Oreochromis niloticus: one gene and its partner. The protein of the gene in region 1 interacts with the protein of each later gene in a biochemical or structural test. Links are inferred from orthologs where the notes say so. Each region holds a gene or a part of one and is shown on either strand. Other genes may lie near its edges.

What was found.
Region 2: the proteins of nppb (region 1) and npr1a form a complex in vitro, tested with the Homo sapiens proteins (2 studies listed by BioGRID). The link is inferred for Oreochromis niloticus from reciprocal best matches to the Homo sapiens genes NPPB and NPR1.

Annotation. Positions count from the first base shown.
Region 1 is NC_031984.2:35,529,924-35,536,141, forward strand, and holds nppb (natriuretic peptides B), read right to left. Parts: upstream 1,684-6,218; 5' UTR 1,592-1,683; coding exon 1,478-1,591; intron 1,090-1,477; coding exon 804-1,089; intron 721-803; coding exon 704-720; 3' UTR 526-703; downstream 1-525.
Region 2 is NC_031985.2:34,509,241-34,516,130, forward strand, and holds the start of npr1a (atrial natriuretic peptide receptor 1), read right to left. Parts: upstream 3,020-6,890; 5' UTR 2,673-3,019; intron 1-2,672. UniProt on the Homo sapiens protein: Receptor for the atrial natriuretic peptide NPPA/ANP and the brain natriuretic peptide NPPB/BNP which are potent vasoactive hormones playing a key role in cardiovascular homeostasis.

The DNA of each region.
Region 1 (6,218 bases):
AAATTCACTGATGATGATGTAATTGTAGCTTTAATCAGTGGAGCACTGATGATGGAGTGCTCAGCTGTACTGTAATTCACTGTACATCATTTCCTTGTTAGAAAGCCTTTAAACAACCTCGAAGACACAATCAGGTGCCAAGCTAAGACCGTATGCACTAAACTACTCAGCTGATCACCAGTAATGCACTGGCAGTGAAATAAATGGGAATGGAAAATCATTATCACCAATAAATAGTTCAGGATATTCATTAATGTTCATGCGCGGTCTGTGTCAGATCATTTTTTTTATGAAGACATTAAAATAAATCTGTTATCAAATGAATTCTGTATATAAACGTCCTGCATAGAGCTCCCTGCTCCTGCTAGTTACTCAGAATGACAAGAGCTTCTTCATTAAGACGACACTACATGTTTCAGTTTGTGTTTTTATATTTGACAGTTCAAAGGAAAAGTCTCCCGTACATTAGTGTCTTTTTGAAATATGCTGGCTGTGTCTGATGGTCAGTGATGAGGGCCAATGACCTGCATTTGTAAACATTTATTAAAACATTCAACAGTACACAAGGAACAGTTTTGGTTCCATTTTTTTTAAATATTCTGCTGAGCAACAGTATTTAATAAATATTAGTAAATAAATAGCCTTTAAATAAAAGTATCTTTGTGTAGAGACGTTGCAGTTTTGGAATTTAGATGGTAAGACTTCATCTTTGCTTTGGATCTGCAAGAGAAGAGTAAGAGAGTAAGAGTTAAATCTGTGCTACATTACTCTAACCTTATTGTAGTGAAGTTACTGTAACTTACTGTATCTTCCCACAGTGTTGCAACCCAGAGAGCTCATGGAGCCTATTCTGTCCATCCGTCGCCCAAAGCAACCAGAAGATCTCCTAGATGAATCATTGCGGACACTCTTGAGGTTCTTGGCTGAAAGAAACTCCCGGATTTCAGCTTCATCTAGTCCAGCGTCTGGCTGAGGTCCATCTCCTGCGTCCTCTGTGCTCAGGCTGTCTAGAAGATCCCTCTGTCCAGGGGCACTTTGGTCCACTGCCATTTGTTCTGAAACAGACTCCTCCAGTCTGCTGAGGAGCACCTTTAAAGATCCACACAGATGAAAGTTGTACTGGGTCTTAAATAATAAACATGGCAATTTAACTATGCCATGAGGATAGACAGAGGCACTCAAATGTATTTGTCAACAATTTATGTCTCAGTTTATTGAGATTATTAGAAGCAATATTGGAGCACAGGTAAGATGAAAATGATCAGACTCTATGCTTTATCACATGAGATATCAAGGCTAAATATTGGGAACAGCTATGGAAGGAAATGCAGGATGTTGTTCAACATCTTACGTGAATAACTAACATTAAAGTCTATAAATAAAATTGAGTTCCTTGTTCTGGTTGCTGCTACAGATTGCCTAAAATTCCCAGGCAGACTCAACCTTTTCAAGAAAAAGTTAGTGTGAGGAGACTTACCTTCAAGATGTCCATGTCAGTGTCAGTCAAGCCAGTACTGATGGGATACATGCTAGTCAGCTGCAGCTTTAAAATGAGAAGGAGGCTACAGAGCCACATAGAAGACAGACGCATGATGCTCTGAGTTGCTGCTGTTCGTGTTAGTAGTTGGATGAATGGATAAATTCTCTTTTTCTTCTTTGACTTGTAGGTGTTTGGATGCTGGAGCCAACAGCAGCACTCTCTTTTATACTTAAGGTTAACACACATAGGTATGCCAGGAATTGGACCGGCATGCCTGACACCTAATTCTGATAACACGAGCTGTCGGAAAATGCTCCTTTTAAAGCATTGTATGCTAGTATTCTTATGACATAGCTGCTTCCATATGCTACTTTGCTTGAGAAACATTCTCCAGAGCCTTCCCACCTCACACGGGACACTGTTGTCACTGAGTTACAGGAAGTAGTAAACTAATGTGACAACATGATAGTGTTACTAAATGAAGACACATATGTAATAGTTGTACGGTCGCCTGCTGATAATTGTTCTGAGAGATCATCTTTTAGTGGCAGGAATAGTGGCAAAAATGAGGAGTCCAATCTGCTGATGTGATGTTTACACTGCCTAATGTTCTTTTCTTGAAAGCGTATTTTAAAGTCTGTCACCTTTGGATAATTACAACATTTTTAATTGTCGGTGTTTTCTTGAATTGATGTTGCATCCAGAATATGTATGAGAATAAACTGAACTGTCATTGCTGACCTGCTGTGAGAAGCAAAGGAAAAACAAAACACTACACATATCACTCACAAGTCACTGCCTTGTGATAACTTTAATCAAATATAGCAGTGAATTAAATGATTATGAATTTAGGTGAAGTACTGTCTCTAAAAGACTGATGTTGCTCAGCTCTGCTTTCACACAGACAAGTACAGGAAGTCTTTTATATTTCATGCAGTTATAGTAACTGTCAAACTCACTGCTGGGATTTTGGCAAGTGTAAATAAATAAAACTGTATTTATTATTGAAGCAGTATCATTTGGACCACCAAGTCACAGAATCCTCATTAATTGAATGAACACAAACAAGAAAAACAATAAGTTCATTAATAACAACAACAACAAAAATCTCACTTTTTTGTAAACAAAGTAACTTCAGAATAAACTCCTCTAAAAAAATGAAAGGATCATCACAGTATTTGGGTTTGGGGCAAGGTGGAGCAGGAGAAGCACTGCCAGAGTCCTACAAAATGACCACCAGTGAGCCACTAGTGCATTTTTCAGACAAAACTGTCATGAATGGACCCAGAAAACACTAGAACTAGCAGGTCTACCATTGGTACCTCAAATTTCCTTGCAGATGAGAGCAGGTTCAGCCCTGAATCCAAATAAGAAGGTGAATCCAGCAGTGGTGGGGTGGAGCAGCGGGTTCAGGGTGTGGATGCAGGGGAGGCTGATCTTCACAACCGACAAGCATCATTTAATCATGCATTACCTATTCCAGTAGTGGCTGGGGCCGGAGAGGAGCCCATCATCTAAACAGAGCCACTGGTGTGACAGAGGCTGGCAGCGAAGCCAGCCAGCGAAGCCAGTAATCGAGTGCATTACAATAATCTAATCGGGAGGAGATGAAGGCATGAACAAGCATCTCCAGTTCACCTTTGGAGACAATACTCATGAGTTTGGCGATATTTCTTAAATGAAAAAAGTGAGAGCAGGTCACAGAATTGATATGAATATCAAAAGACGGAGATTGATAAAAAAAAAATTAACTAGAGATTCCGAGCATTAGCTTTTACCGTGGATGAGAAAGAACCCAGATGTTGCCTGATTTAGGGCTTGATAATCTCTGGAGCAAGAATTAAACACACAGTCTTTTGTTTGTCATCCAACCATCAATCGCACTAAGACAGTCCATTAGAACAGCTAATTTGTTTAATTCACAGGGTTTAAAGGAGATGTCCAGTTGGATATTGTCTACATACAGATGGTAGGAAATAATTTTGGAACTACTAATGATAAGGCTTAAAGGCAGAATATATAATGAAAATAACAAGGGGCTTAAACCCGATCCTTGTGGAACTCCACATGAAAATTCAGCTTCATCTGACTGAAAGCTTCCTACTGAAACCAAAAGTGTTATATCCGCCAGAAATGAGGGGAACCATTTTAGGACAGATTCAGATATCCTTACCATATGATTTAAGCGGTAGATTATGATCTGATGATCAACAGTAAATGGCTGAGCTAAGGTCCCATAAAACAAGGACTGACCGGTCACCCATGTCTGCGGCCATCAAAAGGTAATTTGTGACTTTGATGAGAGCTGTTTCTGTGGAGTGTAACTTTCTAAAACCCAGTTGAAAGTTATCAAGAATATTATCCTTCTCCAGTGCCTTCTTTACTTGTGACCAAATGATTTTTCTGATACTGTAGTAATGAAAAAAGTTTTGAGCTGTGTCTGTAGCTTGTCTGAAGTGTCAAATCCAGGTTAAGCTTTTTCAGCAGAGGTTGAATAACCACCTGTTTAAAGCACCTGGAGACAGAGCAAGGTAGCAGGGAACAGTTTTTCAATGTGACCAGAGAGAGCCCAGTGGTGTCAAAAACTTTAAGAAACAGAGAAGTAGGTAAGACATCAGCTGGACTTGTTGAGGGTTTCATTTGAGTTAGTATTTCTGATCTTTTAACAAAACTGGGTGAAAAGATTCCATAATTATGGGGTGTGGGAGATCACAGTTGAAGGGGCTATCTAAGGGAGACATGTTTCCTCTAAGGTTGATCTTATCTTGGAAAAATCTTTAAAAGTCATTGCAATCCATATCTGAAAAGACAGGTGTACACGGAGTTGGAGGAGAGACAATGCTATTCACTGAGATTGAACAGGAGTTTAATATTGTCGTCTTAATCGGCCAGGCTGAAGCATCTCTGGTTAAATCCTAAGGGGCTTGGTGCAAGTGTGCCCTGTACACTCCCCAGGACTTCATATGGTTTCTCATAAGCCGTGGGACAATGAAATGGTCACTCACATGGTGTGGGAAAACTGGTCTCAAACACGGTGTCCTGCCAAAACCTCTGCGGAGAAGCCATACATTCAGCTGGAGGTCCGTTTTAGCTAAAACATCCAACACCGGGAGCGCCAAGAAGGACGCTAAATCACCGCTACTCTTGTATTTCTGTAATCTCACTTGGATGCCCACTCTCCTTCCTCACTTCCCCTGACGACTCTTTGTCAGGGAAAGAGTCTGCATAACACAAGCAACCATTGGAGGTTATGGGTAACAGCTGATCGCCCAAATGGTGAAGGGAAGCCTCCAAAGTGTTTCCCATTTTCATCCATAGACTCCATTGCTAACTTAATCTGAAATAAGGTTTAAACGTAGGTAGCTGTAATCTCATACACAGACAGCAGCAAAATATGTAATGCCATAAAAAACAGAAAAATAGAGACCCTGACAGTGGCATTGCCAATAACAGGCGCCATCTTGTTAGGGGTCTGACAATAATTGAACAGTTGTCAAATAGGGCTGTCAGCTGTGTACCAACCTGACGAGATTAAGTGAAGTACCCTCTGAAGGTCTACTAGATGATGTGAATGCAGCACTACGGACGATACCTACTGCCACCATTACCGAGACTAACCAGCTGATCTACACCACGGCAGCAGTGATCAGTGAGATGCTTGGCTACAAAATGAATAGCCACAAGGAGCAGTACCCTCCGTGGAGAAATAGAACAGAGGCTAGGATCAAGTTAGCCAGGAGGGAGGTTAGCCAACTATCGGAACTGCAGAAAGGTGCGATGAAGAAGGTGCCTAAGAATTACAGCAAGCTGTTCATACCTGAGGCCATGGAAACTGCCAAGCAAAGACTCACAGCCTTGGCCAGCCTCTTGAAGAGGTACACCGGAGAGATAGAGGGCAGGACAATAAACCAGCTGTTCTCCACAGAACCATCCAAGGTGTACTCTCAGTGGCAAGAGAACAATATGAGAACGCCACCACCAAGGCTTGAGATGGAGCAGTGCTGGAAGAGCATATGGGAAAAGGATGCAACACATAACAGCAATGCTCAGTGGTCAGCCACCTCCTCTACATGGATGATATTAAGCTGTATGCCAAGAGTGAATGAGACATCGATTCACTGATCCACACCGTGAGGATCTACAGCAATGACATCGGGATGTTGTTTGGACTGCAGAAGTGTAGTTGGATGGTAACAAAAAGAGGGAAGGTAGTCAGAACTGAGGAGATCATTCTACCAGAAGGCAACATTGCAGACACTAAAATAAGAACAAGTACCTGGGAATCCCAGAGCCAAATAGGAACCATGAAGAGGCTGCTAGGAAAGCTGCAGGAAGATGGGAACAACTGACCACTTGCTTAATGAATAACTCTGGCAACAGAAACCCAAGAAAGAAGCGGAGCAAAAGGAAGAGTCATCATGGAAGGAAAGGCCCCTAGACGGTATGTAGAGGAAGTGGCTGAAATCCAGAAATTCTACCAGTGGCTGAACTAGGCACTAATTATGGCAGCACAGAAACAAGCGCTCAGCTCAAGATCCATAACCAGGTGGCTGGCATACTATACAGGAAAATCTGTGCTGTGTATGGAATGAAAGTCCCAAGGTCAAAATGGGAGACTCCCCCTAGGGTGGTGGAGAACGACAGAGCTAAGATCCTGTGGGACTTCCAGGTACAGATCGAGAAAATGGTGATGGCTCACCAACCGGACATAGTGGTGGTCGACAAGCAGAAGAAGACA
Region 2 (6,890 bases), on another chromosome or scaffold:
CTGCTCTACCTGTGTTGCCTTTGTCATCTTTCTCTGTCTCTCATTTATACAGTGCTGTGACAAAGTAACACCTGTGTGAGGAAGCACATGTGCACGGTTTATCCACTTATGTTCCGGAGTTCTTCAAATAAAAGCAGTCTGGGTTTCCATAATAAGAGTCTCACTGACATATGGACATACAGTTTCTGTACTGCAAAGCTAAGAGGGCTTTTAATTTGAAACAAATGCAGAAAATGTTGAGTTGAGTCGCTTTAACAAGGTAGGAGAGAATTAAAAATACTAAAAAAAAAAATTAAAAAAAAATACTAAAACAGGACTAATTCATCCCATAAAATACAAGGAATGAGGTAAGCAGAGGTCAAAGATAACACAATGTTAGCGGCGTCAGCGTTAGTTCGTCAGCTGTTCCAAACAACGAACATGTCTTGAATCAGTCCACTCGCATTATAGCAACTTGACAGCTCGGATCATTTCATTTGACTTAATTGGCTCTCTTTCATCAAATGCACTCCAGGGATGACTGGATTTCAAGGAGAGTGAATAAATAAGCTCCAAAATGTACCTGATGTTTTATTCAGTAAGAACTGAAACCAGGTCTGCCATAGACTGGTCACCAGTCCAGGGTGAAAGAAAATGGATGGATGGATAGAGTCACTTCAGTCACTTTAATTTTAATTTTAAAACGGTGAAATTTTAAAAGTGTATATAATGTATATTCTGTGTATTTATTATCTCATTCTTATTGCCTGTTTATGCCCTGTCCTTATCTTCAACGTCATGCTGCTCTGTTGTATCTATCTTAATTGCCCCTTGGGGATAAATAAAGTCTCTCTGATTCTGATTCTGATAGATTTGAAACTAGGGGCTGAGATCATGAACTCATCAGGAAAGTGTGTAATGAGGTCGGAGATCAGGTGAGGAGTGGGCTCATTTTCCCCTAGACTTCTGTATAATCAGACCAAAGCAGTTGCACCCTGCTGGACATTTGAGTGCTTCTGCATTGGCGTCATGCTTCAGATGCAGTACCAGTATCTGCACCAGGGATGTCAAACCCTTCATTCCTGAGCCACTTATCTTCCAAATTCATCAGCTGTGCTGTATGAGTAAAACCACTCCGTAATAAGTCTTGATGCATGCTCATTCATCTGGACCTGGTGTTTTTAGTGGGAGAAACATTTCATCACTCATCCAAGTGACTTCTTCAGTCTCAGCTGTAAATTTCCCCAATCTTTTACATACATTTGCATAATGACTCAAACTAACCCCACTGGTGAACAATGGGCTGTGAGGTCAGTTTCTTGATCAGCTGATCAAGAGTGACGAAATGTTTCTACCACTGAAAACGCTACGTCCAGATCAACAGAATTGGGCACTCCCTAATAACTTTGAAATCTCCCTTATTGCATTTTCTTTAAGTAAAGGGTTATGGTTGTTATGGTCATGTTAATTTGTTCATGATTCCACACATTTAGAGTACAGATGATCTGGTCTCTTCGGCTTTCAGCCTACATGACTCACACCTGTTGTTGAGCTGTTGACCAAAATGTAGGTCCCTCTTTAAACTCAAGAATCCATTAAAACCCCCTCATATCCCAGCTTTCAAATGCAGCGTGTGTTTCTGGGTCTGTCCAAATGGTGGGAGGTAACGCAAAGAAATATGATGAGTGATGTTGAAATGTGTACATAGCTTCTCTGTATGTGGAAACACAAAATCAGACTTTAATCACCACATTTCTCCATACACATGAGCACATGAATAAATCTGTGAAAGCAGGCTGCTGTGAGAAAAGGCAGCAGGAAATCTGACAGGAAGAAGAAGTATAGGCCAGCTTCAGTCAGGCTGAAGTGTCTTTGAATACATCAGGATTTCTGATGCTGATGAAAACTTTACTTTCCAGAGATGGAGGTAAAACACACTCAGCTGCCCGACCCGTCTTCAGTCTTATATAAGTGTTGTTGCAACATCAGTGAGACTCAAACACATCACTCAGGGAACAAAGAGCTGTCAACATTGAGGTCTGTTTCTAAACTTTCAGCTTCTTTAGGATCAGGATCTGTGCACACATCAAACCTCAGACTAAAAAAAAAAAAACAGTTTCTCACTTTCATTCTGAGGTGACTGTCCATCTGACCATTGAGTGTCTGTGTGCTTCACACATGATTTTAATTATTAATAATAATACTATTGTTATGTAAAACAGTCAATGATCTCGTGGATGCCAAATGTATCATTCTCGCGATCGATTATGAATATTTTGTCCCCTCATGTCCAGCCAGTCTCTCAGACGATCGCCCCTCCCTCAGCCTGGTTTTACTGAAGGTTTCTTTCTGTTCAAAGGGAGTTTTTCCTTTCCAGTGTCGCCAAGTGCCTAATGATTGCTGGCTTTCACTGCTTTATTGCAGGGTACTGCTATTGTGATTTGGCGATGTATAAATCAAGTAGAACTGAATGTATTCTTAGTGGTGGGCTGTTGTGTCTGAAGGCAGATAGACTTCGGTTAAGATGAAGAAGGAAAATCAGAGTCTTCGTTCATTTGAAAGCGTGACCAGGACAGAGACTAAGAGAAGAACTAAAAACAACTTTCTACTCGATTAACTGCTTGGTCGCTAAACGCGCGGCGCCTTTCTCCTGTGTAAGTTCATCAATAGAGGAGCGGCTGACGTTGTTTTACCTGTTCGGCGCTCAGCGCAGCTCCGTGTGTCCGCAGAATGACATCCAGCTGTTTTCAGCTGCAGCTCGCGCGGCGGAGGACGCCTCGTGAACACTCGGTGGGAACTCCGTCTCACCGGAGGCTCACCGGAGGCTCGCGCCCCGCTACTGCCGGCGCGTTTCCGCTTCTCCGCGCTCACAAACCATCCCGGTAATAATCCAGCCTCCCGCCGTGCGCGCACACGCAAGTTTTGCTGAGGGGGTGTGGAGGGTAAGAGGGCAGTCCTGAAAACGCGAACTGAAGCGCGTGCTTGAACCTACGTGTATTCAGTTACCAAAGTGACACATGCTATATATATGTGTGCTCGCAGTGCCCCGCTCCCTCCTTGCCGTGCTCTGCGCACGCTGATAGACTGAAATATTACTTTTAATCAAAAACTTTATATAAATCCGGATAAAGCCGCTCTGCTGACGTGAGCATGTGGATATGGAGCCCCCTGGTGGCCGCCTGCAGCTACTCACTTGGTTTTATTGATTGGATACCGGTACTAGTCAGTTGATTAGTCTGATTGAACCCCGAGTAAAATGACTGTGGGTGAGGGTGATTATGGATTATAGACAGATGGTCGTGTTTCTGCCTTCTGCTCAGTAAAAGTTCAACTTCCATAGAATTATCTAAGATCAGTTAACAAGTTAAATGACTGATCAGTTTCTCATCAAACTTCCAGCATCTCTGAACTCACTGCTGACCTTTGACCTCTTTGCAAGGAGAGATTTTAAAGTTCATTAACAGCCACACATGACGTCACACTGCAAGTGTGTTATTGTTCATAAAGTTAATGCACAACACATACATAGAGAACCAAAGAATGTGTGTGTGTGTGTGTGTGTGTGTGTGTGTGCGTGTGTGTGTATGTGTGTTTTAACAGGATACACCCGGTATACCAGGAAGTCGCTTGGAAACACACAAACTCTCCCTCTCTGTACCTCTTCCTGGAAATGATCACCACCCACCCTCATACTCGGACTCTCTTGCTCTCTTTCTCACATGTATCCTACCTTCCTCCCACTCTCTCCTGTTAATGAAAACACATTAATGTTTCTCTTATTTAACTGTAAAGGTCACACTTGAATACAGCAAGTCGACTCCAAAGAAAGTCAGTAAATACAGTTAAGGTGAGCAGTTTCCTCCTTTTATTCTTGATTCTGTTAGAGACACTGCATGATTCCGTATTCAGAATAATCCTTCTGTGTCTGGGTTATAGTGCACCCTGTTCCTCTCTTTTGATTGGTTGTTCTCTGCCAACAGAACCTTGTAAGTATTATCTTGTGCTGTGGCTACTGGAGAAAAATACAACGTGAAGTTACTGAAAACATGATTTGTGGTTGTTGGTTGGGACTGAACTGTACACCTGAAGGCACAGCTTCATACGGGGATATTGTGATTCCCATATGAAGTGAATGCTGATCTGAAAATAGAAACTTTATCATTTTTTTTCTTCCTTCATACAGGTAAACTAACTATGATGAGATGACTGTGAGGATATCCTCTCTGTTTGACATCATACAGCCAGGGTCACCACAAGGAGGGGCCAGGGGGGACACTGGCCCATCCTAGCAAGGCTGTTGTATGTTGGTATTATTTTAATAAACATGAGGTCAAGAGAGAGGAAGACAGCCTACAATGAGTTGAAACATTAACCTGTTATTTATTCCTGCATATACAATTTTGCCATTCGTATTGTGTCACTTTGTATGTCCCTCATGATTTCCTGTCATAACCTCCTCACCTTTGCTACACCCCTGCGCTGTTTTGGTGTGCTACCCCAATATTTTTAGTGGTCGCCATATGGTCATCCATTGAAAAAATTCAAGAGGCGCCCCTGCACAGCGCTCGCTGAGTGTAAGATGCTGGCAGTGGTTGGAGGAGCATGAGGTAGAAACATGTTTAATATGAACATCCAACCCTGGAACAGGAGACAGCAGACAGCAAGTTGAGAGGAGCACTCAGTCACCGTTAACGGTTTCTTAGTGTCCAGTCGGCACACAAAGTTGTGCCAAGGCTCAGGTCTGACTCTGCTGTGAGGATGAGTGTTATTCCTGAACGAGGAGATCTGAAAACCAAACTTAGCATAAACACATGAATGAATTCAAACTTTATGGACGGCTTTTTTTTTAAAAACAGAACAACAAACTCTTTTCCCAGGCTAAATGAAGATCTTCTAAATTAGTGACACACCATTTCCCTGTCCAGCTTATGGGCTATCTGATTTTTTCAGCAGGTGATGGTTTTGTACCTCTGAAGATTATTTTATAATTTATTTATTTTTAAGGGATTAGTGTTTTTTTAAACACTGTAAATAGTGACTGAAATAAAAGCCATATTTATAGAAATTGTGGAAATTATTTGTCTGCTGAGATATAATCACACAGAATTAATCTCACAGGGAACATTTGTCACAGGAAACTGATTAAACCTCCACAACAACAAAGCCCACAGAGCAGGAACAGTGTGACATCTGGACGTTCGCATATTGTGTGCAGTCTTTTCACCGCTTCTGTGCAAAACCAATCCTAAGCACATCAAGCACTCAAACGATAGCAGAAAATCCAAAAGGCACTAAAGCAAAAACTGCTTTAAAAGGTGAGACACTACAAACAAAAATATGAGTGGCATCTGAAGAGCTTCTGTGACAGCCAGAGGAGTCCACATCTTTTTCACACAGAGCTGCTACCAGCCCAATGTTGTTTGTTAATAAAGTTTTTCAGCTGAAAGGTTTTGTGGAATCTTTTGTTTGTGGAGCCCAGAAAAAATTAAGTCAGACTGAAACATGATGCTGACCATGGCTTGGAGCCGAAACAGGACACAGTTGAGTTATATAACGGCACAAAGCTTCTGGAATTATTGAAGAAGCTAAGAGTCAATTTGTGACTGAAAGGTGTGGACAGGAGGATTTTTGCAGCCTTATGTCAAATGGATTTGTAAGTTTTACTTTCAGGAGGAAAATATTTGTAATTCACAATTGTGTGATCAAAAGTCTGTGGTAAACAATTTACTGCAAACTGCATGAAATCTAACGCTGAAAAAAATCTTCTTCTGCCTGTTGTGGTTGTGATAGCTGCTACCAGAAAGGTTTATGAGGGGGACATATCTTGAGAACAAGTGCATAATCGGCTCAAAGCTGTGAGCTTGTTACCAAAACCAGTGGTGACAGTAACTGAGTGAGTATTAACAGAAAAGCACTGATTGACGAGCTTTAATGATGTTGTTTTACTTCCTTTTGTTCGTCTTCAAATTTCCAATTTAAAAAAACACAGACATGAGAAAGTGTTTCTGGTAACACTTTCTCATGTCTGCAAAACTGCAAACACTTGTGTTTGCAGTTTTTAACAGACAGTAAAACCATTTGTCATGTACACACTCATTCTGCTGCTCTTCTCTGAGGTCACTACATTACATCAATCAAAGTAGCCAGACTGAGCCATGAAAACAACAAAACATGGCAACAGTTTGATAGAAAAGTTTTAAATTCACCCCACTGCTACAATAATGAACAGCACTGGGTACTTTTAATGTAATAACTGAAGAACTTCGTACTCAGTAGCTTCATTAGTGTGGGAGGAAAATTGGAAAATGAAATGAAAAAATATAATTTTCTTTTATGAACTAAATTTTTAATTTTAATTTAAACAAAGTTGTGCACCTTTTAATTTCCGTAGTTTTTCATTTTCTTATGAGAACATTTTATCAAACCAAATTATTTATTTCTGAATGTTTAAATGTTTTGGGAAGAATAAAACGCTGGAAAAATTCAGAAATGTGTCCTGTGTGCCGATGGGATCACCACAACTGGAGCGGGATCAGCTGCAACAGAGACAGATGGCTGAGAGGAGCTGGGGCCATTGCCAGTTGCAGTAGAGAACAGACTGTGCAGACCCAGATCACGGTCTGCTGGGTCATCCTCTAAAGCTGGTGGTGGGACCTCCGTAGGTGGCCACTGATGAGCTTGATCAAGGACCCAGGTATTGTCCAGGGGCTCGCAGCAGCGATAATGCTTTAGCTGGTCATGGTGGACAACTTTCACTCTAGACCTTGGGTTCTTCTGGATCCGATAAACCAGGTCATCCAATTGCCCCAGGACAAAGAATGGTCCTTCATACGATGGGAGGAACTTTTTGACCTTATTCTTGATGTGACGTGTTCCTTTGATGAGATACCATACAGGATCTCCAGTCTTGT